Linked DNA regions of Caenorhabditis elegans. The protein of the gene in region 1 purifies or fractionates together with the protein of each later gene. This does not show direct contact. Each region holds a gene or a part of one and is shown on either strand. Other genes may lie near its edges.

Evidence for each region.
Region 2: the proteins of rrf-3 (region 1) and drh-3 purify together in Caenorhabditis elegans (affinity purification with mass spectrometry, with the first as the bait; one study listed by BioGRID). This does not show direct contact.
Region 3: the proteins of rrf-3 (region 1) and eri-9 purify together in Caenorhabditis elegans (affinity purification with mass spectrometry, with the first as the bait; one study listed by BioGRID). This does not show direct contact.
Region 4: the proteins of rrf-3 (region 1) and B0001.2 purify together in Caenorhabditis elegans (affinity purification with mass spectrometry, with the first as the bait; one study listed by BioGRID). This does not show direct contact.

What each region holds. Positions count from the first base shown.
Region 1 is NC_003280.10:8,160,783-8,168,493, forward strand, and holds the start of rrf-3 (RNA-directed RNA polymerase), read left to right. Parts: upstream 1-1,682; 5' UTR 1,683-1,775; coding exon 1,776-1,843; intron 1,844-1,898; coding exon 1,899-2,508; intron 2,509-2,554; coding exon 2,555-2,790; intron 2,791-2,837; coding exon 2,838-2,951; intron 2,952-3,001; coding exon 3,002-3,359; intron 3,360-3,404; coding exon 3,405-4,224; intron 4,225-4,271; coding exon 4,272-4,543; intron 4,544-4,588; coding exon 4,589-4,830; intron 4,831-4,872; coding exon 4,873-5,084; intron 5,085-5,130; coding exon 5,131-5,818; intron 5,819-5,866; coding exon 5,867-6,590; intron 6,591-6,634; coding exon 6,635-7,092; intron 7,093-7,137; coding exon 7,138-7,243; intron 7,244-7,294; coding exon 7,295-7,486; intron 7,487-7,532; coding exon 7,533-7,711. Other genes in the region: emb-27 (Cell division cycle protein 16 homolog), read right to left, coding at 1-112, 156-555, 602-1,106, 1,151-1,255, 1,302-1,387.
Region 2 is NC_003279.8:7,819,151-7,826,837, forward strand, and holds drh-3 (Helicase ATP-binding domain-containing protein), read left to right. Parts: upstream 1-1,680; 5' UTR 1,681-1,692; coding exon 1,693-1,790; intron 1,791-1,849; coding exon 1,850-2,023; intron 2,024-2,276; coding exon 2,277-2,352; intron 2,353-2,399; coding exon 2,400-2,481; intron 2,482-2,526; coding exon 2,527-3,051; intron 3,052-3,238; coding exon 3,239-3,364; intron 3,365-3,410; coding exon 3,411-3,592; intron 3,593-3,673; coding exon 3,674-3,855; intron 3,856-4,052; coding exon 4,053-4,378; intron 4,379-4,814; coding exon 4,815-5,095; intron 5,096-5,138; coding exon 5,139-6,047; intron 6,048-6,486; coding exon 6,487-6,587; intron 6,588-6,643; coding exon 6,644-6,782; intron 6,783-6,829; coding exon 6,830-6,936; intron 6,937-7,038; coding exon 7,039-7,090; 3' UTR 7,091-7,228; downstream 7,229-7,687. Other genes in the region: D2005.4 (TPR_REGION domain-containing protein), read left to right, coding at 50-55; D2005.7 (NAM-associated domain-containing protein), read left to right, coding at 429-618, 669-881, 1,023-1,087; glna-3 (Putative glutaminase 3), read right to left, coding at 7,341-7,687.
Region 3 is NC_003281.10:4,930,704-4,935,425, forward strand, and holds eri-9 (Zc3h12a-like Ribonuclease NYN domain-containing protein), read left to right. Parts: upstream 1-1,775; coding exon 1,776-1,818; intron 1,819-1,844; exon of another isoform or gene 1,845-1,870; coding exon 1,871-1,991; intron 1,992-2,037; coding exon 2,038-2,188; intron 2,189-2,233; coding exon 2,234-2,422; intron 2,423-2,474; coding exon 2,475-2,617; intron 2,618-2,672; coding exon 2,673-3,067; intron 3,068-3,118; coding exon 3,119-3,387; intron 3,388-3,434; coding exon 3,435-3,839; intron 3,840-3,880; coding exon 3,881-3,955; intron 3,956-4,005; coding exon 4,006-4,215; downstream 4,216-4,722. Other genes in the region: C26E6.12 (OBG-type G domain-containing protein), read right to left, coding at 1-226, 275-398, 450-621, 673-878, 928-1,127, 1,177-1,276, 1,323-1,456.
Region 4 is NC_003282.8:12,145,980-12,152,712, reverse strand, and holds B0001.2 (uncharacterized protein), read left to right. Parts: upstream 1-1,735; 5' UTR 1,736-1,748; coding exon 1,749-1,801; intron 1,802-1,874; coding exon 1,875-2,046; intron 2,047-2,100; coding exon 2,101-2,231; intron 2,232-2,610; coding exon 2,611-3,304; intron 3,305-3,351; coding exon 3,352-3,708; intron 3,709-4,243; coding exon 4,244-4,344; intron 4,345-4,397; coding exon 4,398-4,638; intron 4,639-4,682; coding exon 4,683-4,802; intron 4,803-4,854; coding exon 4,855-5,177; intron 5,178-5,458; coding exon 5,459-5,820; intron 5,821-5,876; coding exon 5,877-6,103; 3' UTR 6,104-6,232; downstream 6,233-6,733. Other genes in the region: B0001.7 (Movement protein), read left to right, coding at 1-65, 186-391, 444-525, 575-741, 788-898, 945-1,010, 1,066-1,204, 1,257-1,339.

The DNA.
Region 1 (7,711 bases):
GACGCTCTGTAATAGCAACTCATGGACTGTTCGTGTTCAACTTCATAGTGAAGAATATGACCAAAAGCCACCCATCCTTCAGCAAACGTCGAATCCATCATCGTGCATTTACCTAAAGAAGCTCTATTTAAACCTCAATGAAATGGGAAACATACTGATGAAATTTCGAGCTCTTGAGTTTGCTCCAATACTATAATAATACATAGCAACACAATACCATGGAAGTGGAATATGAGGATCATCACTAACTAGTTGATGACCTAATTCAAGCAGAGATCGAGAATCCTTTAACATTGTTAGGCAGTGAATACGAAGAATAATGCACTCAGGATGTGGTCCAAATAGATCAAATAGCTCGTCAGTGATTTTTTTTGTTTCTCGAAATCGACCCATCTCGTAGGCACGTTGAGCACGTTCCATAAGAATTCGTGGATCATGATTTCCTTCGTGTAACTTCAGCTGTTCATTTCTGACTTTTCTGTACTTCTCCCACATCGCAGGCTCAACCAGATTGTATTTTGCCATTAATCGTTCGACATGGAGAGTTGTATTATCCTGAAATAATAAAACACGGTCAAATCATGTATAAAAGATGACTTACAAGACTCAGCGCGTAATTAATACAAATCATTGCAGCATCACGATTCATCAATTTCAAAAAACTTTCTGCTATGGTTATCATAAGAGCTGGAACCATTCTGAGCTTTTTAGAGCTATTATCCAATTCGGCCATATTTGCAAATGAGTACTTCATTCTTTCTTCCTCGACATATCTCCCCGTCACTTGTGAAAGTGTTCGAACAGGAAGAGGTCCAATTTGGCCATTACTTGGAAGAAGATGACCGACCGATAATTCAGCTACATCTTCGTATAATTTCCGTTGGAAAAGTGCGGTAGCGGCATAATAAGCAAAAACAATGTGAATCTGATGATAGTTCCCACGAGCAATAATATGGCTAATACGCCGCCATTGACGGAGAACGACGAGAATTTTTACGTATTCAGCGATGGTGACAATATCTTGCTGTTCATCATCAATTATATTAGAGTATAATGTATCCGCGTAAGCTACAGCTTCATCGGTTCTGCCGATTTCAAGCATTTCCCTAAAAATATAACATATTAATATATATGCTGGTCTCAAACTGACATCACTTTCTCCATGCTCGCCTCGTCATAATACTCCGATCCATCAATTCTACTTGCAAGTGTTTTAATCGGCTTGAAACGAATAGACTCGTGTTTCGGCAAATCTCTGAAAAATTGTAGTTTGAAAAAGAAATGTTATTTATTAAACTCACAAAGATGATGCTGGCTTGCTTGAGGAACCTTCATCAGCCAATGTCGGAATCGCAAAACTTTTTGTATCAGGCGAGATCGCGCTCATGCTGTAAAGGCTTCGTATATTTGTTTAGTAAGTAGAGAACTTAAGTTAAGCAACAAGAATTGTAAAATAGAAATTCAATAATGACGTTAATTGCAATGGAACTGTTGTGAAAAAGTGTTGAGATTATAGTCTTATTTTTAGATTATAATTTTACAGCTTACACGGAGTAGTTACAGCTACTTTAACTAAATAACATAAAGGCGCGCCTAGGCGCTTAAAAACAAAATAAAAAGGATTTAATGCTTGATCAAATTTAAATTTTAGCCGTAACTGCGGAGTCTCGTTGCTAATTGTCAATGGAGCGAACATACATCATCAAATTTTTGAATAAAATTGTTTCTCATTTTTTTCGTAAAATAAATGCCATTTTCAAAAAGTCTTTCACAAAATGCTCCCGTTTGATAATGATGACTCTAGCGATGATGCTACAACTTCTGTTAGGCCGAAGCATCCAAGGTAATTGAAATTCGGTGAGCAAACGGTAGTCAAATGAAACAATGTTTTTTTCCAGAGGAGTTCCTCAGAGTCAATCAACATTTCCACGTGGTAGATCGAATTTTTCGTCTGGAACTTTACCAAATCGAAAAACAGAATGCACTCCAGTGAACACCTTAACAATTGGGCATTCAAACAAGATGCTATTGACAACGTTTCGGATGGATCGAAATTCAAAATCTAAATCGGAAGTTGACGTACAAGAACAGCCTGTTCACTCTTCATCGTCGGCTTTTCCAGGAAATCATTTAAACAATTTTTCGTATCCAGTGAATCGTGGATATCTTCGTGATTACCTGCTACAGTCACAAAGGCCTTCTACTTCAAAACCAGTCGACTGTTCTGTTCTAAAACGGCACTCTCTCCCATCAACTCACATTCTTTATGAGAAAACGAAGCACAGAGGTGGTGTAAATATCGAAGAACAAGAAAAACTCGTGCGGATGTTATGGGCCGCTGCAGAAGAATCGGAAACAGTTGCGAAGACGAGACAGTTTAGTAAAAAACAGGCGATTGAGCTGAATTTCGATGCTAAGCTCATTGGCAGCATGAATAATGATTGCTTTGGATATTGCCGAGCACACATGGAAAATATAAAAGATGTTTTGAAAACACACTTGAAATTGGTAAGCGATTTTTTAATTGGCCGTATTTGAAACAATTTAATTTCAGTCTAAAGTTGACGAGGTAAACTGGATCAAGGTGGGGATGGTGCCACGAGCTGCGTACGAAGATAAATCATACGTCATCGATGCTCATTTAGTTTTGACGCCAAACGGTGAAGTAGAAGATGAAAATGAATTGTTCTCCGAGTTCGCATCAAGTTTCACATCTAGAATAACTGGAATGCTCCATGATCAAGTATTTTTGGAAGTCCCGAAAATGCATACGCTTTTCACAAAAATAACGTAATAGAATACTCATCCGCTTTTTATATACTCAAGTTATAATTTAGACCCCAACACATGGATATAAATATTTCTGCGATTGCGATTGGAAACTGCCCTAATTCAGGACTTTTCCTTGTTAGAGGAGATTTCATCAGTCAAGAAAACACAGTTTGTAGTGTGTAAGTTGCACATATTCTACAGAATTTCTAATCAGATTTTTGTTTTTAAGAAAGCTTCAGTCACACCATAATGCAGATGCATCCCGTGAAAACAGTTCATTCAAAGTGGCAGGAAGCAATAAATACCTCTCGTATGCGAGATTTGAGCATGACAAAAGACTGGCAGTGGTATATTTCGGAGTTCGATTAGCCGAATTCGCTGATGATGGTTTGGATCATGCCGGATTTCGTCTTAATCTATATTATAATTTGTTTGTTCGAATTGTTGTCGACATGTCTCATGAAACTACGAACAGTATTTATATACAAATGAAAAATCCACCGCATCTCTGGGAAGGAATTCCGAAAAATACGATTTTTCACCCATCAAAGTCGAAGGTTCTCAATATGGAAACGTGCACAGAATGGGTGATATGGTATGCAAATAACTTTTAAAAACTTGTAAATTTTCAGACAAGAGTATTGAGTTGGCCTGGCGATGCTGAGGGCCGAGGTGTCGGTTGTACTTCTGAAGCTTTCTCGCAAAGCTCCTGGATCCGGTTGACAATGAGAAAAGATGATGATAACGATTCGGTATCGTCTACACAATTGATGGATATTGTTACTAGACTTTCTGCTCGAAGCAAAGCAAAAGTGATGTTCGGCTCCATTTTTTCAATTCGCCGAAAACTTGCACCATCCCCGGCTTTCCATTCTCTGGGATCTTTCCGAGCGAATTATGCTCTCCAGGCTCTAATCACACGCGGAAGTGTATTTACGGACCAACTTTTCGACGCAACTGATGAAAATATTCCAAGTTCAGACAATGACAATGATGAAGATGATGACGATGATGTTGATGACACGAAAAAGCCAATGGAATTAGTACACGAGCCGCTCTTTCTGAAATTAGTTCGTAGGGGAATGAAAGAATGCTCTCAAGCCACAGAAGAGACTCTCGAACAACTTTTGAATGCATTTGATGAACGTCGTCAAATCGATGTAGTTACCGCGTTCACAACAATGTATCAATCAAGAAAGATTCAATACGAAAGACTTCTGAAAGGAGAAAGCCTTCAAGATGTAGGCCTTGCAAAGCCATTGCCGAAGAATTGTGTTTCAGTGGCTAAAGTTATTGTAACACCATCTCGAATACTGCTAATGGCTCCAGAAGTAATGATGGTAAATCGAGTTGTTAGAAGATTTGGACCTGATTATGCTCTTCGTTGTGTGTTCCGAGATGACAATCTGGGCCGGCTCGCTATTCGCGACTTTTCCATCAATAATATAGATCGTAAGAAATTCTTTAAATATTTTTAAATATATTATCTAAGTTTCCAGACATGTCGAATATTGTCACCGAAGGAATTTATTTGACTCTCAAAAATGGAATTCAAGTTGCTGATCGTGTCTACAGTTTTCTAGGATGGAGTAATTCTCAAATGCGTGATCAAGGATGTTATTTATACGCTCCTCGAGTCAATGCATTAACTGGTGAAGTCACAGGAACTGTAGAAGATATTAGAGTATGGATGGGAGATTTCCGAGATGCGATTAGTGTTCCAAAGATGATGAGTCGAATGGGACAATGCTTTACACAAGCACAACCAACGGTATATTCTAGTGTTAAAAATATTCATATAGTCGAAAATATTCAGGTACGTCTTGAACGACATCACTGGATCGTTGAACCTGACATTGAAGGTGGTGTAGAGAACAAATATTGTTTTTCTGATGGTTGTGGTCGAATTTCTATCAAACTGGCAACACATATATCTAAGATTCTCCAATTGAAGGAAGTACCAGCTTGTTTCCAAGTGCGATTTAAAGGTTTCAAAGGAATTCTAGTTATTGATCCAACAATCGATGATATTATAAATATGCCTAAAGTTATCTTCAGGTAGTGATGATCTATCAAACAAATTATATGATCAATTTTCAGAAAAAGTCAGCAAAAGTTTGGTGAAGGTGGTGGAGAGCTGCAAGATGAATACCTCGAAGTAGTAAAATACGCTATGCCATCTCCAGTTTGTCTCAACCGTCCATTCATTACAATCCTGGATCAAGTGTCGGAAAAACAATCTGCAAGCTCTCACAGAAGGATCACAAATCGTGTTCATTATTACTTGGAAAGAGAACTATGTTCTCTGAGTAGTATGTAGTTACTGTATGGTTACAAATCATAATCTCCTAATTTTAGATATGCTCATAAATGAAAATCAAGCAGCAGAAGAGCTAGTCAATCGCACAAACTTGGCAATCGACTGGAACGCAGCAAGCAAACGAGCCGGGTTCGAATTGAGTGTAGATCCATTGATACGAGATATGCTATTCTCTATTTATCGCTACAACATCATCCATCACATTTCTAAAGCTAAAATTTTCTTGCCTCCAAGTTTGGGAAGATCAATGTACGGTGTTGTCGATGAGACTGGACTTTTACAGTACGGACAGGTTTTCATCCAGTATTCACCAAGTATCCGACAAACCAGTAACCGTCCAATATTGAAAACAGGCAAAGTTTTGATTACCAAAAATCCGTGTCACGTTCCTGGAGATGTTCGAGTTTTCGACGCAGTTTGGCAACCAGCATTAGCTCATTTAGTCGATGTTGTAGTATTTCCACAACATGGCCCACGACCACATCCCGATGAAATGGCAGGTTCAGATTTGGATGGAGATGAGTATTCTATAATATGGGATCAAGAAATGCTACTCGATTATAATGAAGAAGCAATGGTTTTTCCGAGTAGTTCAGCTGCAGAAGAAGACAAAGAACCTACTACAGATGATATGGTTGAATTCTTCCTTCGATACCTTCAACAGGATTCAATTGGAAGAATGAGTCACGCTCATTTGGCTTATGCTGATCTTCACGGACTTTTCCAGTATGTTCCTTGAAATTATCCATGTTAAGCCAATATCTTATTTTTCAGCGAAAATTGTCACGCCATCGCGCTCAAATGTGCAGTAGCTGTAGATTTTCCGAAAAGTGGAGTTCCCGCGGAACCATTGTCAAGTTTCGAGCAATGCGAAATGACACCTGATTATATGATGTCAGGTGGAAAACCGATGTACTACAGTACCCGATTAAATGGACAATTGCACCGAAAAGCTCGAAAAGTTGAAGAAGTTTTGGAAGAATTTGAAACACGCGGGAGTGTATTCGAAAGAGAATATGATAAACTGATTTGTCCAGAAGACGTTGATGTTTTCTTCGGAAATGAAATAAAACTTGTACAAACATTGACTCTTCGCGATGAATACGTTGATCGAATGCAACAACTTTTGGATGAATATGGAATTGAAGACGAAGCTTCAGTTGTGTCTGGACATGCTGCAAGTATCAAGAGATTAGCTGGAATGGAGAGAGACGACTATTCATTTTATCACACTGATAAGGTCGTTGAGCTTCGTTATGAAAAATTGTATGCTGTATTTCGTGCAAAATTCTTTGAAGAGTTTGGTGGAGAAGAAATCAACATTGAGAATGATGGAAAGAACACTCGGTTGAAATGTACGAAGGCAATGCATGAAAAGATTCGGCAATGGTATTTCGTGGCATATGTGCAGCCAAAGATAAATAAGGCTGGAAGATGCATTGGACAGAGTCTTCCCTGGGTTGCTTGGGATGCATTGTGTGATTTGAGGCGACAATTAGTAAGTTAAAATTATGAAATAAATATATTAATTTTTTGTTGCAGATGCTCGATAAAAATGACGCAGTTTTACGAGGCAAATATCCAATTGCTGCTCGTTTAGAAGAGGAGATCGAAAACTCCATTGAAAGGCAGTTTGACAAGTTTCTCAAATTGAAAGATTTGATTGAATCTCACAAAGATGCGCTTTTCCTGAGACGATACGTATATTTTTATGGAGATCAGATTATAAAAATGTTGTTCATCCTGAAAGTTTGGCTTGAACGAGAAAATGTGCTCCCATCAAGTGTTTTGTCGATTTGGCAGCTGGGAAGACTTTTGATTCGTCTAGGGCTCGGAGATCTCCTGGGAAATCCCACTATTGATTATGAAAAAAGTCTTCTGATGCCAACAACAATGTTTCAGCAATGGATTTCGAAGAAAGAAGATGCAGATGAAGCTCCGATATTGAGAAATTTCGATATGGGAACAATGATGCTCGAATTTCTCAGATATTTGGCAAGGTAAATTTAAAAATCTAGTGTTGGAAAAATTTTTCAATATTTCAGTCAATCTTTCGCATCAGCTGAAAGCATAAGTCTTCGAGTTTTCTACGAAAAAGATATTGTTGAGCCAATACTTACTAAAAGTGCACAATGGATGCCTTTACATCTTGTAAGCTCGATCTTTAATATTCCAGATCTATCAACAAAAAACATATTCCAGATTGCATATCGTACATTTCATTCCATCGCTGTGTCTGGACGGTTTGATGCGCTTCATTTGGACGATGAGGATGCGGTGGATCAGATTACAGAAAGCAAGGATCCAATACTAGTTAACGAGTCATTGTTCTCTTCGAGAAACTACAACGATGATTATCCGATCAGTAGGAGTAGAATATTGCAATCTTTGAAGGTAAGTGGTTCGAAAATACTTTTCGTTTCTAGTGAAAAACTTTCAGGATTGGTCTGGTGTCAAAGAAATAATTCCTCGCGAAATCACTGGAACTCGGAAGTCTGATATGATCTATGTTACATCAGTTGGAACGGTTCTTGCACGACAACGCCTCGCTCGACTTTTACTTCTCAGTGGAGAGACAATTAGGGACGCGATTGCCAACAACGTCGTGCCGAATGAAGT
Region 2 (7,687 bases), on another chromosome or scaffold:
TTTTTAGAAATGCCGTTAAATAATTCCAATAACTGAGTTTATTTTCCAGATGTAATCTTCGTGCAATACTTGTAACATATCACAAATGCATTCATCATCGTGATGAGTTCAACAGTTTTATTCAAAAATTTTGAAAATGCTCAAGTGACGAACTTTTTTTCTTTTTTTTTTTGTTAAGATTATTTCATTTCCCTTTAAAATTTTCTCTATAGAGCTATAGTATCGTTGTTCGTGTTTTCTAATAAACGCTTTAAAGTTTTGTTCTATAGGTTTTTATTGTTATCCAATATTGGTTTTAACCAGAAATATGCACTACATGTTATGACACTTTTCATATTAGTATTACTTTTTATTGTTTAACACGTTAACTTTACCGAGGTTTTGCAGCCCTACCCGTGTCCTATTTTATGCTGATATTCATCTTCCAGATGGGCAACAAAAAAAATAAATCAAGTGGGTCCCGAAAGAATCATTCTCAGCATTATTCTCAGCCAACAATGACCGTAGAGGAGTGCTTGAAGGAGTACGAGAACACAGGAAATTTCGCCAAGTTCTACCCGAATTACATTTTCCAACGGTTGCCAAAAGAGTTCCTCCAAAAATACTTAGCCTCTAAAAGTTCGTTTTACAAGAAAAGTTGACAAGTTTAACAACCTTCGCAATTTCAGAAAATAAAAATATTTCTAAAAATCCATCACTAAGTTGTTCAAACTCTACATTGGACAATATGAAAGAGACGTCGAAAAGTATCTATGTGGACGTGGATCCAGATGATCCTCTCTCCGATGAAGCATTCACTGCTCAACATCCTGTGGAAGAATGGTTTCGACTTCCTCTCGAATGGCGCATTGAGATCGAAAGGCAGCGTTTTGTGAAAAAAGGTATTTTATTCATGGCTAGAAAATTAATCCTACAAAAAACCGCTTAAAACTCGATTTTTGAGTAAAGAAAGAATTTAACAATTTTTCATATGGATAATTTATTAAATATCGAAAAAAAGCATTTCTCTTATTTTCTTTCAGAACGCGCCGACCGTGCTGCTGAAGCTGCCAGGAACTCCGCTGAACTTCTAAAGCCAGACGCTTAAAAGTGCATCAACGATTCGTTTTAACGTTGTAAAATGTTATTTTCGATGTTTTCTTTTCATCCAGTTATTCGTATTAATTTGCCATTCATCAGCTGAAATTCATCCCAACAACCTGCCGAAAGAATTTTATTTTCTGTTCTATCTTTCAAATTTCCTTTTCTTTTCTTCATTTTCTGTTGGCAGCTGCTCGTATTTCCATCACCGGTTCCCGTGAATTTGCAGTTTTAATGAAAGTTTTATTCTTGTTTTAAATATTATGATTTTATTTTCTCACAAGGTTGAAGAGCCAAAACATTTATTTATGTTGTAGAATTTAAATACTAATTTTATTGATTCCGCCGTTGCTCATCGTTAAATATTGAATACTGAAACCAAAACTTCCCTTCCTGACACTACTTGCCCTTCTTTAACACTAATAATGGTTTTCTGTTCATTCATGTATTTCCCTCTTAACTTTTTATCATTGGCAAGAGGAAGAGAAAATCATTAATGTGAAAACCTCTGCCACACTTGTTTATATTTTGTGCGCCAGTTTGAACAACATGTCTTTTTGTCGTTTTGTCGGCAAAATTTAATTTAATAATTTCCTACAGATATTTTCGATAATGCAACCAACTGCAATACGTTTAGAAGATTACGACAAATCGAAGCTTCGCCTTCCGTTTGAGTCTCCATATTTTCCAGCGTATTTTCGTCTTCTCAAGTAAGAAAATTATACATTTCCCCCCTTGCACTCGATCAAATAATTAAATATTATTTTAGATGGAAATTCCTTGATGTATGCGTGGAGAGTACACGAAACAACGATATCGGATATTTCAAACTATTTGAATCGCTGTTCCCGCCAGGAAAATTGGAAGAAATTGCCAGAATGATCATTGACGAGCCAACTCCAGTTTCTCATGACCCGGACATGATTAAAATCAGAAATGCCGAGTAAGACGACAGAGAAATCATGTATTAGAAAAACGTTCCAACGAAAACAATTTCTTCGGTGTTATCTATATCTGTGACGGCAAGGATGTCGAAACGGAGTTTTGAAAACATAAAATTGTTTTAATGACTTAAATTTTTATAAAAAGTTTAAATATCGTGAGTTTTCGAGTCACAGAAGCTTAAAAGGTCAAAAAAAAGTATTATGGTGTCTGGAATTTTCGTGCCATATTTTTTTTAAATACCAATTTTTCAGTCTCGACGTTAAAATCAGAAAACAGGCAGAAACATACGTTACATTGCGTCACGCACATCAGCAGAAAGTTCAAAGGGTAAAAACACTTTTGAAAAACATTTAATAAAATAATTTTTATTTCAGAGAAGATTCTCGGAATGTTTTTTGAACACTGTTTTGTTCGATGAGAAGGGACTCAGAATTGCTGACGAAGTGATGTTTAACTGTAAGTAATCGTGAAATTTCAAACGTTTTGAACTGTAAAATTCAGACGATAAAGAACTTTATGGATACTCACACTGGGAAGATCTTCCTGATGGCTGGTTAACTGCTGAGACTTTCAAAAATAAATTCTACGATGAAGAGGAAGTTACCAATAATCCATTTGGATATCAGAAGCTTGATAGAGTGGCTGGAGCTGCACGTGGAATGATTATTATGAAGCATCTGAAATCGAATCCACGTTGTGTTAGTGAAACTACAATTCTCGCTTTTGAAGTATTTAACAAAGGTAATCATCAACTATCAACTGATTTGGTCGAAGATTTGCTAACCGAAGGACCAGCGTTCGAGCTGAAAATCGAGAATGGAGAAGAGAAAAAATATGCTGTGAAGAAATGGAGTCTTCATAAGACTCTCACCATGTTTCTCGCAATCATCGGATTCAAATCGAATGACAAAAAAGAGAAAAATGAACACGAAGAGTGGTATTACGGATTTATTGATGCAATGAAGAATGATCCAGCTAATCGAGCGGCTCTCTACTTTTTGGATAAGAACTGGCCAGAAGAGCTTGGTAAGTTTTTTTTTGTTTGGAAATTAAATAGCGGCAAACATTTTGTACTTCAGATTTCAAAATACTGAAATTATTTTAATACAATTTTAAATAATGCCTAACTTTTTATTATTCGGCCATCTCATGCTATTTGATGTATTTTACGAATTTCGATTTACAATCTAGGCTTAACTAAATCAATTTTCAGAAGAACGAGAGAAAGAACGTGACCGTATCCGCCTTACCCTACTGAAAAGTCAGCGGACTAACGAGGAAGCTGTCGGCGAGGATGTTTGCACGACAATACGTCCACAACCGAAAGACAGCGGCTACAGTAAGATTATATTTCCAACATTTAGTGCAAATTTTCCTTTTTCCAGATCCAGATGCGGTGGTTACTGAACTTGTATTGCGTACTTATCAAGAAGAACTTGTCCAACCGGCTCTCGAAGGAAAGAATTGTGTTATTGTTGCTCCGACTGGTTCTGGTAAAACAGAAGTGGCAATTTATGCGGCTCTCAAACATATTGAAGAACGAACATCCCAAGGAAAGCCTTCCAGAGTATGTTTTTTTTTTAATTTTCTCGTCAAGTTCTAATATTATTTCCCCTTGATATAGAAGCAATAAAATTTTATTTTCCAGGTTGTGCTCCTTGTGCCGAAAATCCCGCTTGTCGGTCAACAAAAAGACAGATTCCTGAAGTATTGTAACGGAATGTACGAAGTTAATGGTTTTCATGGATCCGAGAGCAGTGTCAGTGGAACAGGACGTCGTGATGAAGTAATTGCTACTCATGTATCAGTTATGACTCCTCAAATTCTGATGTGAGTTAATGGAATCAGGTTCATTAAATTCTGAATCGAAAATTTCTGATATAACTCATTAATTTTTTATTTTACTTTTTTTTTTCAAAAAAAATTATAAATTATAAAAAGAGTGCAATTTTAATCAAGATATATAAAATGTTTAATTTTTTCGGATCGAGCTCTGGTTTTTATAATACCCGAACTAATTATTTCAGCAACATGCTTCAATCGGTACGTCAAAATGAGCGTTTGTATGTGAGTGATTTCTCAATGATGATCTTCGATGAAGTACATAAAGCTGCAAAAAATCATCCATATGTGTTGATTAATCAAATGGTTCAAGAATGGAAGTATGAAAAACCACAAATCATTGGTCTGACAGCTTCATTGAGTGTCAAAGTTGATGGACAAAAAGACGAGAATCAGATGCTTAATGATATTTATAATATGCTCGCATTGATCAACGCTCCACATTTGAGTACAATCACTCGCCAATCGAGCATAGATGAGCTCAATGAGCATGTTGGAAAACCAGATGATTGTAAGTTTGTTCTCAAGTTGGAAATTTAGTTTTTTTTTTCTTAAAAACCATAAATAAATTTTAAAATACAAATAAGATAAATTTCTAGGTGTATCAAATTATAAAAATATTTATTTTCAAGTTTACACAGTTCAAAAAAATTTGAAAATTGTAAATTGTTCTTGTAAAATGAAAAATGGTTTCTAAATGAAGTGTTGTAAACAGGAATTGAAAAAAAAAACCTTCGGAAGCTGAAAACCCACTTTAGAATCAAAACCACGGTATTGAAATTTCCTTTGTTTTCCCTTATTTCTCATGGTATTGTTTAACTTCAAGCTAATCCGGCAATTTCAAAGTAAATTCCTCATTTACTCTATTCCAAAAATAACCAATTACTTGTTTTCTCTTCGGAATATGAAATTTCATGAGAGAATTATTTCAAAAAAATTCTTCTCAGCTGTCGAACTATGCTTGCCTGCCAAAGAAAATATCCTTCGAGATTACATCGAACGATACCTTAACCACGCCCATGGCAAATTTCTCGAAGAATTAGCAAGCATGTCTAAATCAACTGGCCGCAACAACACTATCCCACCGAATATGATTAACACGTTTAAAAAGAATCAACCGAAGAATTATGAGTACTACGATTCATTACTTCAAGGTATTATTCAAGAGTTGAACAAATTGAATGTTCCTGAGAAATGGAATTCTCAAACTTGGGCGAAATACATGAAGGTTTGATTCATTTTCAAAGATTCTTGTAAATGAAATGATTTAGGTATATCTCGAAGCTCGCGGAATCGTTGATCTGATGCCTGCGATGGTTGCATTCAAATACATGGAAAAAGCTATTGGGAAATTGAATGAAAGTCATTCAGAGACAGTCGAATACAGCACCTTCATCAAAGACCATGATACTTTGAAACAAACAATTCAATCCGTTGAACCAGAAATTGTTCTACGTCTCAAGAATACACTCACCAATCAGTTCCACGTGGCTCCTGAATCTCGAGTTATTATTTTCGTAACACAAAGAAGCACCGCTCAACGTGTCAGTGATTTCTTGAACGAATCTAAAGTTTTAGATCAATTTGGTAATTATGGTGAACAAATGGTTGGATATGTTCTCGGAACAAACAAACAGGGCGCTGTACAGCAGACTTCACAAGAACAACAATTGACACTTGATAAATTCAACAATGGAAGACTTAAAGTAATTGTGGCAACGTCAGTTGTTGAAGAAGGTCTCGATGTTACTGCATGTAATCTTATTATCAAGTACAACTGTTCATCAGGATCAGCCATTCAACTTGTTCAACAAAGAGGTCGTGCACGTGCCAAAAACTCTCGTTCTGTGCTTTTATCAGTGAAGAGTAGTATCAATGAAACCGAGACTAACGCGTTAATCTCTGAAAAGTATATGAGACTTTGTGTGAAGAAGATCACAGAGAATGGCGAGAAACAATTGGCTGCAGAAGTGAAACGAGTCGCTGAACTAAATGCGGCTGAAAGGAAACGAAATCTGGAAGAGCAACTCAATTTGAGATTACGACATGAGAATAAGATTTATAAATTGATGTGCAGCAATTGTTCAAAAGAGTTCTGCAAGAGTATTTATATCAAAAAAGTGTTCTCGAATTACATGGTGTTCGATCCAAGTGTATGGAGATTTTTGCATGTTGAATCGGTACGTTTGATGAATGCTCAAAAACCGGAGCCGGCTTGTCGAAAATATAATTTTAATGAATTTTGTAAGATTATACTCGTAGACCAGGGCTGTAAAACCATTTTCCCAAAAAACCGAAACCTAAAATTTCTCAAAAAAAAAGACAATTAAAAAAATTTCTGTCACTAAAAAATCGTTTTAAAGTAAAAAAATCGCTTTATTCATCTGAAATTAACTTATTCAGGTTGAAACATTTATAAAGTGCTTAAAAATTACCTGGAAGTGTCGAATTGCCGATTATCAAATTGCTGAATTTCCGAACTTTGCTTTCCGACAATTGACTTTCAGGCTATTTTTGTGCAATTTCCAGATGTTTCAAGTAAATGTTTTTTTCAGCTAAGCCGACTTCTGTTTATCATAGAAACGCAATTTGTGATTGTGAAAAATTGAATTTTTTCAGAAGCGAAAGGTGAGTAAGTACTTGAGTGAGGACAATCAACCACTCAGTGATATCAAATGCTTCCATTGCAAGTTGGATGTTGGAAGAGCTTACAAAATAAGGTAATTGAAATTTAATTTATTTAAAAGTCGTTTCTTATAAAACAACATTTCTACAGAGGAACCTATTTGCCGCAACTCAGTGTCAAGGCGTTGACATTTGTTCAAGAATCAGACTATTCCTCGATGACAAAAGCAAAATGGTCGGATGTGGAACAGGATCTGTTTTATATTTCAGAAGCAATCGAGGATGACTTTGTAAGATTTTGGTCACTTGATTATTTAAAAATTGTACGAATTTACAGAGAATCATGTTGAATGCGCTCTCCGATACTGAAGAAAATATCGAAAAGAAGATTGTTCTTGATTTGGACTCACGACAACACAATAAGCAACTCGAGATGAAGAGATTGTAAGTGTGCTCTGGATTGTGATTCCTTTTCTGTTTAACACTTTCGAAGCTCAAAAAATACGGATAAACTCTCTATTATCATAATAATGCTTTCATTTTCAGCCATATTCAACAAGAACCACCAACGAAGGGAGTTGCACCAGAAGCTCAATGATCATCTCAAGGATTTCCAACTTGTACGAGAATTCAATTTTTCTTAATCTTTTTTGTTATTTTAATATCATTCATCGTGTTCTATTTACCGAGCAATTTTCATTCGATCTCTTGAATAATATAAAGCTCTATTTAGTTTTATTTTTTTAATTGATCTTTCAATTTTTCTTCCAACAATTTGACTGTAAATTAACAAATGACAAAAAATGGAATGATTTATTAATTTAAATCAATTTCTAGAACATCTATTCCTAATCATCTTGTCCTTTAAGATTGTAAACCGTAATTGCCTCTTCTAGCAGCTTAACACAAGCAGTATGATTAAAATGTTTAGCATCATCCAATGGAGTTCTATCATATCTATCACATGGATTCGGATCCTCTTGCCATTTACTCAATACGTATTCCAATGTGACAACGTCTCCTTCAGCAGCAGCCACGTGTAAAACTGTTCGATCATCATAATCTTTGCAATGAATATCATGTCCCATCAAAAGGAATCGTTTAATTGCAGCAATATCACCCAATTTTGTAGCATACATGAAACGATTCTGACCGTCATGATCATCTTTCAATTGACGACGAGGATCGATTTTCT
Region 3 (4,722 bases), on another chromosome or scaffold:
TCTTTTTAACATGTTTTGTGTTTTCTGGATTATCTTGTACATCTTTCAAAGCATGAAGATGGTGCCTCATTAACTTCAGAACATTCGTAAATTCGTCGATTTTTCCACTTCTAGCACTGAGTTGCACAACGTGTTCGAATCTCATCGGTATCTTCGGCCTCATCTCTTCAGGCACCATATCGATCCATTTTTGAGATTGAAGAGATTTAGCAAGAGATGAGATATTCTAGGTTAAGAAACAATTAGGAAAATGATATATTATACAAGTTCTTACGGTTTTTTCATTTTCATCGAGTGCGTCAATTTTATTTAATACACATATTACAGGTTTTCTTGCTAATTTTTGATTATAGAGTTCCACTTCGCGATTTAAAAGAGCAATTGATTCCAGCGGGTTTCTGAAAATGTAAAAGTCGTGCTTCAGTGCCAAGTCGTTTAAAGAAAACTACCTAAAAGGGCAATCAAGTTCATTTTTCAACTGAAATCCTTGACAATCAACAACCATAACAACAATATCAGCATATTCCAAATGTTTCAGAAACTTGTATCCCTTGCCTCGATTCATAGATGCACCTTCGATAATTCCAGGTAAATCGGCAATAGAGAGAGTGAACGATGGGTCTAAAGCTTTGAAATTTAGCTTAATTGTTTTAAAAAATAAGGGAAAATCACCTTCAACGCTAAATTCTTCTTTATTTTTAAAAAATGCTACTTGCGGATTAACTGTTGTAAAAGCATAATCCGCAATTTTAACAGATTTTTCTGGAACCAAAGCCTTCAAAAGTGTTGACTTTCCAGCATTTGGGAATCCAAGTAATCCAATATTCGGCCGCAGTTTTAAGTGAATTTCCACGTCAAAGGTGTCACCTTTCGAACCTCTGGAAATTATTATTTTTGAATTTTTGAGATTTGAATTTGAAAACTTACTTATAACCGATTTTAGAGTATCCACCTTCACCTCCGCGTGCAATAAGATATCGATGGAAAGGTTTGGAGCAACGTGCAATTAGCTTGTTTTTCTCTCGATCAACAACTTCAATCCCAACTGGAACATCGAAAAATTGATGCTTCGCGTGTTGTCCAATCAACATGATTTTAGTGGCTGCTTCGCCGTTTTCTGATCGTATCTGAAATTGTTCGATTTTAATAGAATAAATAAAGCTTAAGAAAACTTACTTTCATTTTGTTTTTAAGTCGTTTTTTGATATCTGTGAATGCAAGTGAAGGTTTTGCAACAAAGTAAATGTCTCCTCCATTTCCACCGACTCCGTTGTACCTGAAGAAACAAAAAATATGAACTTTTGTGAACAAAAGAGTATAACCTTGACAATCCAGAACCTCCAGAACCTGCTTTTATGTTCACCAAGTATTTATCGATTTTCAAAACATTCAAATCGTCTTTTATGAGTTTCTGGACTTGAGAAATGGTTTCGCGAAGAAGAAGAGTGAGTCTCATCGCGTGAGAATTCTGAATTTAAATTATTTTAGAGAACGGCCGTGGCCGACGATCGTCTCAAATTTAGGTCATAGGAGATGATTTGAAACATTTTTGTTGAAGAGCGCTGAAGATTTTCATTTAAAAAAGGATGCACTTTATTTTTTCTTTCAATGTTGATGAAAACTTGTATAATTTAAAACAGGTGGTTATATAAATTCGTTTCATTACGATTTTCTAGCTGATTCCGTTCAATATGTTTATGTAATACCGAAAATAAATAATAATAAATAATAAAAAAAATTGATTAAAGCCGTATCATCGTGAGAATTAAAGGCGCATGTCTGGAGTCCAGCTTTCGTTGCGAGACCAACAGAATTACCGTAGGAAAGTTTTAAAAACATTTTTTGTTTGAACAGTTTCTAATTTTTACAGCGTATCCTTGTGCCGCCTCTCAAGTAACTTTTCTTCTATATAATTCTCAGATGTACCGATTCTGTGTGGCATTAACACCAAGCACCTCAGAGGACGAGCAGGTTGTGAGAAAATCAGAGAAGTACATATAAATATAAGTCTATTCTTCATCTGGATCAAAATTGCAGGCCAGCTTCAAAACCACCGACTCCCGAGGTAGAAGACTGCACATTTTCTGAAAAGAACAATGATCAAAGAAAAATTGAAAAAGAAACAGAATCAGAAGAATCGAGTAATTTGAAATTTCCGCCTGCTCGACCATCAATTCGGAATGCGACGGTTTGTTTGTATCATGTTAATTAGAAAAATGTATTACTATTTCAGAATTTCCGCCGAATAATTTGTATTTCTGAATCAGATAGTGGAAAGGAAGAGCCGGTAGTGAAGAAGGAAGTCTTGAAAACAAATAAACTCAGAATATCTGAAACGAAGCCCGAGTATCCTCCAGAACTTCTACAACTTGAAGCAAGACTCCAGGAACTTCGAGCTGGCCGAAAAAATAAACAAGGACGAGTAAGCTGTTTTTAGGTTTTCAATAGTTTATTGAAGATATATTTTGTTTTAGATAAACCGCAAGTTCGTGGCTAAACCCTGTGGAGTTGTGAGTGGAGAGACACCTCAACGTCCATTTCTTGAAGAAATGTATTATTTCAATCCTCAGGAAACTGGAACTGCGAGCGAGATTTTCGACATGCTTTTCCCTGCAAAGTAAGCCTTTTCAATATAGAGTGAATATATTTTTTAATTAAATACCTTTGACAAGTTTCAGAGATACTCCAAATTTTCGCCCATGGCTTGATGGGCACTTTTCGGCTCCAGATTTGCAGTTCAAACAAATAGAAAAACAACGACAAACTAAACTCCATTCATACACAGGGACCACGTTACAAGAAAAAAAACGCAAAAAACGAAAAAAAATATTGAAAAGTATTCAAGAAATATTGTGGCTTCTACACTTCCAGAAACATGATGATTTCTTGGAATCAACGAGTCGCCTCACAATTAAGAACTTTTCATGCCATTTTGATGAACATCAGCGGCTTAAATTGCTGCGTAACAACGATTTATCATTAATATGTAATTATCAAATCGGATCAGAAAATACTCCAATTTTTAACCAAAGAAGCACGGATTGTATGCTTAGACCCGTATTTATAGGTTGGTTACTTTCATATTTAGATGTTTTTAACTTTGAATAATTCGTTTCAGATGGCTTATCATTCATGGACATGCTAATTCCGATCTCATCGTCGCTTCCAATAATTTCCACGAGATCTCTACTTGAAATACTTTTAAATTTCATTCTAGACGGGTGCCAAACTGTAATATACTTGCCAGATTATTATAACGATACAACTAACCAAAAAGTCGATGACTCGACTATTTTTCAATTCTTGTGCAATTCAAAACTTATACAGTTTGTTGACGGGCGGAGTCGGAGGGCTGTGGAACGACAAGTATTGCTTGAAGCTGAAAAGGTTATTCTTTTAGTTTCAAAATTCGTTAATTTGAAAATAAATTTTAGGTCCATGGAGTCTTTGTTTCCTCAGCGGAAGAGTTTCTAACCCGAAACGCTATTCAATGCTTTCCAGTGATTAATCGTTATTCTAAAAGACTTGATGAATTTCTAATTTGCACAGTATTCCTAGTCAATAATCTTCCGAAAAAAATACTCGCACAAGATTTCGTTGAAGAATCTAGAGTTTTGAAACCTGAAGGGAGTTCTTCAGCCGTATCAAGCACAACTGTCCTAGAAGAATCACATCAAAAAATCAGTGGAGCTATGGAAGACTCTGAGGATGAACCTGCTGATCCACAAACGTTGAAACAAGAATATTTGATTAAAGAGGAATGTTCTGAAATATCAGAAGATTCTGAAGAAGGAGCTATCGTCGATGTTGCTTCCAGCTCAGGCGACTTATCCGAAAACGTAGGTGCAATCTAAATTTTGTAAAGTCTAAATTTTTTCAGCGTGATCAGAAATCTGAAAACGAAGAATTTGAATATTCCCCGCATCAGTTAACTCTTGAGCAACAAACATATTTGGTTATTTTTTCCAGTTTTCCGTTCAGATTGATTTATCATCAATATTTCAGATTTCCTCTATGGCGCAACTCTCTATTTTCCATTTCCAACGCTATCGCCAAATAAGAGTATTCCTTATGATTATAAAACGTTACGTGCCAGAACTTTTACCTAGTTTTATGCAAAAAACTCGCATGGATGATGTTGCTATGGCAATTCAAGACATTCAGAACGGGAAGGACCTTCTTTATTGGCCTATTTTCTCAAAAATTGATAATTAATATGTTCAATAAAAATATTTTCGCATTTCTTTGGTTTTAAACTTTTATTTTAAAAATTCTTGGTAATATATACCCTGAAAATTGTATTTTAAACAAACAATTGCATTTTTTGTTTGAAAAATTTTATTTGAATTTTCTGGCAACAACACTCCGAAATTCCGTATGCGCGTGTTGTTTAGCCGCATACGAAACACCCAGTTTCTCAGGAGCATTGATTAAAGTCGGGCTAAAGTAAAGTTAGCAAGCTTCTTTTGAATTTGAAGTTCGTCTTTTAGTTATAATTTCATTTTAAGTAATATGCCTAACCTTCGAATTATTTGTTCTTCTCGATTTATTCGTTAGTTCCTCTGTTCTCAGTATCTTCCCGTCAGATTATCATTACCGACTTTTTTATTCCCATTTTTCATTACTTAGCAGAATCAATCACTTCATTTGGCTGAATAGCTACTATTTTAACACAAGTTTCTTTGATGCTTGTCAGAAGTGTTATTCATTCAAGGTATAAAG
Region 4 (6,733 bases), on another chromosome or scaffold:
GCGAATCGAGGCAATTTCCCAACGAGACGCCATGGAGACTTCTCACATCATTCCTATAGAAAAGCGTAAGTAAATTTGACAGATTTCATGTGAAATTCGATTCATCACATGAATTAGAAGCAATGTTATTCAAGACCTAGTTAAGATTCCATGGCTTATTTCCAATAATGATGTCTCATTTACAGCCTCTAATTCAGGAACTATTACAAACAATACTGGAGTGACTACATTGAAGTATCAACAGCCCCATCAAAATCCCCATTATCAGGAGCAGCGTCGAGATTATTACATGGGAAACAACATTCAAATTCAAACAGCATATAATTCCACACAACTTCGGAAGTACCAACCGAAACCGAAGAAATTCTCGTCATATACCGGAGAATCATTGGTTCGCTCTAGGCCTATATTTTTTTTCGAAATTAATTTTTTGCTTTTTTCAGGAAGGTCATGCGCTCGTCGAAAAGATTATGGCTCATGCGAAAACCGGAATCTTATGGTTCTTTGATAATTATAACTCCAGTGGTATAACTTTTCAGAAAAAAAATTATTTGAACACATTGAATATATTCAGTTCACTTCATTTTCGATGATTTTGAGTTGAATGTTGGTGACTATGCGTATGTGAAGCTGATCCAGAAGAAAGAGGAAACGGCTCATCTGCAATTTCGATGGAAATGGATATCTGGAACAAAGAAACTTTCACCATTCAATTGTCGCATCGATCTGTTTCAGTTGTTTGTATGTTTTCAGAAATTATGATAACTTTAATTCGGTTCATTTTCAGATAGAGGAACAAGTGTCTTACAAATCAAAGGACATGTTAAACAGAAACACATACACTTCCAAAAACTTTCCGATAATTTTCGATGCTGATGGAATTATCAAAAATCCCATTGTAAGATAAAGTCGTTTCGTTCGAAACATAAAATTAATTATTACAGCCAGGAGCCATATATTGTGTGGTTATTCTTCGAAAGAAAATTCAAGTGACGCAAACGGAAAGCCCGGTAAGTTGAATTTTTTTTATAAAGATAATAAAGTTTTATATTAATATTATTATAGACTCACAAATATCAATGGATTATTGATTCTGCTCAGAGCAATCCGTTTATTATAACGGAATACTACAATCCTCACAATGCTTTCAACAGATCGTTCATAGCCTCAAAGCAATTTTCGAGTTCAGCAGCTTTATCAACTGGTAAACAATTATCTATATTAGCTACTATAAATAAACAAAAAATTAATTTCAGACTCGAAAAAAGGATCCTCCGGTTCTGAAAAATCATCGACGTCTCCTCCGCTGAAAAGTCTCACGCCACCTTCAGATGAATAATTATGATGACTACTAACTTTTTCTTCTGTTTTGCATGTTATTTAATCATATTGAGACAGATCTCCCTACCTGAAAACGTGTTCTTTATAACTTGCCGGGTGCCGAGTTTTTCACGGTTTCTGTCCAACTTGCGCATTAATCGCGCCCCGTATTTGTTGTATTTTATAAAAGTTTCCCAGTTTCTTATTAAACTTTGTATCTCTGTTCATATGTACCATCCGTTTCCACCGGAAAGTTGTATCTTCTTGAGAGCATTGAGAGGCCAGAAAGAATTTTGTTTAGTGAAGCAAAACATTTTTCACTTTATTTAATTGCCGATTGATTAAAAAACGCCCCCAGATGTCCTGTTTTCTATTACAAAGTTTCCCGTCTTGAAACATTGACCGTTAATATATTTTAGTCATAAATAATGCTCGGATTAGCCGCACAACGAAAATCAAATGGGAAAGTCGCCGTAGTCTCGTGAGTTTGCTATTTTTTCTAAATAAAATAATATTTTCTCGAATTAGGTTTAATAAATATTTTCAACTTTCAGTCCAACAGATGGAATCGAGTTCGATGTTAACGAAGATATTCTGAACATCCACATGATCTTTCTGGGAGACTTTTGCCAAATCAATGTTGAGAATAATATTCCGATTTCTTATTCAAAAGTGGAAGATGCGTTCAGGTCTTTAAAAACTGAAGTGAGAACAGATACTGTTGAGGTTAGTAAAAGCTTAATTTTCTTAAATATTTGTTTTTATTAATTATTTATTCAGGTATCCGGTGACACAGGAGTTCTAACTAGTGGACTTGCTCCATTTTATAAAACGAAAGAATTTGGAGATGTTGCTTGTAAAGGCCAGGCTCCAGGAGAGGCTGGAACAAACCATAATATTATTGTGTCTAGGTAAGATTTTTGTATCACTCAGATGTGAGATTTTTCGATTTTTTGCGTCAAAAAATACAGTTCCCGGTCTTGACACGAAAAAGTTTTTTCTAAATTCGAAAGGTGTGCGCCTTTAAAAAGTACTGTAGGATCCAAGCGTTGAAATTTTCATCGATTTTTCAAGGTTTTTCTCTCGGATTTCTTATATTTTTTATCGAAAAATCGGCAAAAGTTTTGCAGCGGCGAAAGTTCGAAACTACAGTACTTTTTAAAGGCGCACAACTTTTCGCATTTAACAGAAATTTGTCCTGTCGGGACCATTAGCCGTATTTTTGATGAATATCTCGCATCTTGATAGTATTGTGTCGTACTTTAATATACTTTTGATTTTTTTATTCAGATTGCCAGAGGAACAACGTATCGGTCTATACTCGAAGTTCGTTTGGCAAGGATTATCGGATGGAAAAATAGAAGTGATCTCCAAAACGGCGGGTGTTCTAACTGAAAGAAAAGAGAATAAATCGAATGCAAAAAAATCTGAAGCAAAATCGAAAGAAGAATACACAAAATATATTATCGGAGTTGTTACTGGAAAAAATCAACGAAATAACGCAGTTTTCGTTACTTGCAACCTCACATATCCAGGAACCGACGGAATAATCGAAAAGAGTCAACTACAAATTGGTGATTGGGTTGAAATTCGGTTTACGAAAAAAGATTTCGTAAAATACTTTCCATCAAATCCAACTGCAGATACACCGAGATTCAATGTGAAACATTTCGAAAAAATTGAAAAAATCGAAAATTACTCTGTAACATGGGCCGGCAACGGACCACAAGTGAAAATCAGAAACTTTCAATTTCCGGCTGGACACGTTCAAGGACAATCTGTCGAGGATAGATTCCTGGGAACTATTGCAATTAGCAAAAAAATTGTTACCAGTGAATCTAAAGTCGATGTATTGATCAAGCACCGAAAATTGTTCCAAGCCGGTGACGGAAAACAAGCGACTTGGTTTTTCAAAAATGTCATAAAATCTGAAAAAGATTCGGAGGATTCGGGGGATTCGGAGAATGAAAATAGTTCATCTACGGTTTGTAATGGAGATATTTTCCAACAATTTTTTAGTCTTTCTTTCAGGATTCTCGTCCATCAAAACCAAAGAAAAATGTAGAAAATAAGAAGTCAGAAGAAAAAATTAATAATTCAAGCGAAAAAAAGGAATATTCATCCAATGTACCAAAAATCAACTATTCACATCTACCTGAACCTTCTCCAATGAACTGGCAAATGGGACCACCAGGAATCATGCATCCAATGAGACCAATTGGACATTTTGGAGCAATTCCCAATCCACTTATGTATTCAATGCCGTATATGTCAAATATGGCAATTCCTCCACAAATGATGAATCGTCAGCCAGTTCCAACGAATAATTCTGAACCGGTGATTCATAAAAAAGGATTCAAACCATTGATTTCTACGGAGAATCCACTTGTACGTTTTGGGAGAATGTGAATTTTATAAAAACTGAAGCTGTAGAATTCGTTTATTGTGTCATTTTTAGGTGTTTCTCACCAGAATTTTCACAAAAAAAGACCAACGTTTGTTAACAAAAGAAATTTATTTGAGATTTGAACCAAAAAATATATAATTTTTTTTCAAGAACAAAAACGAAAAAAACACTTTGAAAGTTTGATACTGTATTTTGAAAAAAGTTTCAATATTTTGGTATATACTCTAGTTATAATTTCGAGTGTTGTTTTTTTAAGGAAAAAAGTGAAATCTAAAAATTTACGTCTTTTCTAGTTAGTGACAGGTTACTTTTCTGTTGGGTATCAACGTGTATTGACCCACATTTTCGCTCACTTTTTCTGAAAAAAAATGAAACAAAAACACGAGAAAACAAAGAATTTAGAAAAATATTTTTTTTTTTTAACAAAAAACACCAAAAATTCAACAAGAAACAGCAGTCTTAATTAACTTTAGCAAATTTATGATAGAAAAAATTACAGAATGATTATTATTTCAGGTTCTGAAAAGAGCTGTGATCACCTCGTTGAAACCGAATAACGGAAAACATTTGTATGGAAAGGAAAAGATTGCGTTTTTGTGGCTTCTCGATGATCACAAGTAAGCCTTCTAATATTAGTATCTAAAAAAAATAAAATCATCTAATTTTTCAGGCAATCAGTCTATTATGTCTCTAAGAATGATGGCATTGAGCCAGGCCACTTCTTCAATGGTCTTTTTGCATCTAATGGTGACAAATGGGAATGTAAGAAATACGTGAAACCACTTGGAAAACTCATGGACGGAATTGTATCGAATGATTCGATTGAGCTGCAACTAATTGTTGAGACATACTTTCCACAGTCTGGAGAACGTCTGAATCCCGAGACATATCATAGTTTCATTGGAAAAATTGTTTGTGTGAACATCAATAATATTAATGATCTTATATTTTTCAGGTAGACAAATTCAATAAACTTCCAGAAGATTGCTCAAGAGGAGTGAAAATTAGCATCAAAATGTGGAATATCGTGGAGCGAAATGAATGGTGTTGGATTGTTTCGAAAGTGTTTCAGTCGGTAGGGTTACTGTAATTCTAAAAAAATTTCATAACGAATTACTAAATTACAGAAACACATCCAACTTCTCACTGAATTCCACCAAGCATGGAATGCTCCAGGAATTCGTAAATTGATCAAGCTAAAGTGTTTGTCATTATTTGTAACAGTTTGTGAACTTTTCGACACAGTCCAGGATGGAAAAATGACTCATGCAAGGAATCAGTTGAGCAATGGAAGAGCTTCGGCGGAAACTGATAATAAAGACGATGGGAAACGCTTTGGATGGGTCACTTGTCATGACGGAGACTTCATTAGAATGGTGGTTTTCCCTCGAATTGAAGGACAAAAGATGAGCGATATGAAGAAGAATATAACGGATAAAAATGTCTTCAAGTGAGAGTTTGACTAGAAATTTTTGTCCAGAAAAATTCCGATTTTTTTGCTAAAATATACGGTCTCAACACGCTTTTTTCAGAAAAAAAATTGAAAACATAAATTTCAACAAATCGCGAGGAAAACGACGAAAAATCGATTAAAATTGCGCAGCAACGAAATTTTGAAATTACAGTACTCTTTAAAGCCGCATACCTTTTTGCGCCGTGTTTTTGGCTAAAAAATCGTGACATTTTGCGCCTGGATAATATAATTTTTTTAAATTTTATATCTAATTTCAGAAATGTTGAAAAAATGGAATCTCGCCACCTCTATGAAGTGATTCTCGATAAAGATGGAAAAGTCGTCGAATTGTTCGATTGTCCACAGTACTTTACATCTAATTCCAAGGGGGAGGTGGAATTTAAAGTGATTTGCAGCGATGAATGTCTTCTTACAAAAAATGTTGGTCTCATGGAGCCAATTGGTGCACCAAAATGGATCGGAAAACTGATGTTGTGCACAGAAGATCGTCCAATTCCGAAAAAGAAGATTCTAATGAATGCGACGTTCAAACTTCTTGAAGATGATGATCTTTTCGTTGACGAGGATCTTGTTCGTGAGGAAAGCGTGTGCTTCGTCAATATTGGACGCGGTGAGAAAAGTGAGCAGATAAAAGAAAATTACAGCTGAATTTTTCAAAAATAAATAATTTTTCAGTGGAAAATCAAGACATCGACGAAGTCTTTAAAATAGAGAAGAATGACTCGGATCGACAAGTGAACAACTTGTTCCGCACAAAATTGACGTGCATGCCAAGCGAGACCATTTATTCGCAGTTCGTTCAAGTGTGCAAAATTTTGAGCAACGAAGATATCGTTGATGAAATGAACAAAAGAAATATCGATACGGATTTGCTGATCAAGCTTCAATCGTCTTCACGTTGAGTATGAAGCTTTTACAAAACTCGAAATGGAATGTTTTGAACGAATTTCCAAACATTTTAAATTATGTTTTTTGTATTTTAAACGTGTAATTTTACAATGCATCCGAAATAAAAAGTGCGAAATAGTTTTTATATTTTTTTTGCTGTTCCGTTATGTTCTTTTCCATTACTTTCATACCTACTTTATATTTTAACCAGAAAATGTTCCTACAAAATACTTTAGAACACATTTAGTTTAAATTTTGGACCAAAAACAAACAAAAATCTAATTTCTCCCAATACAAAACTGTTTCCAAAGCTGAATCTGAGAAACTTTTTTTCGCCAAAACCCGAAAAAAAAATTTTCGAAAAAGAAAATAATTTAAGTTTGAAAAGCTGTTTTGAAGAACTTGAAAGATTTATTTTGAAATATTTTAATCAAAATTGCACTCAAGTCGTATAATTTCAAGTGAACTTTTTCGGTTTTTCGGTTTTTTTTGCTCACTTTTACGAAAAATAGATATTTCGCTAAAAACACATTTTTTGATAAACAGCGGTTTTTAGTTTTTTTCCCGAAAAATTCAACAAACAATTTTTAAAAACGAGAGTCCTGAATACGAAATACAAACAAAATTCTCCGTGTTAATTCTAC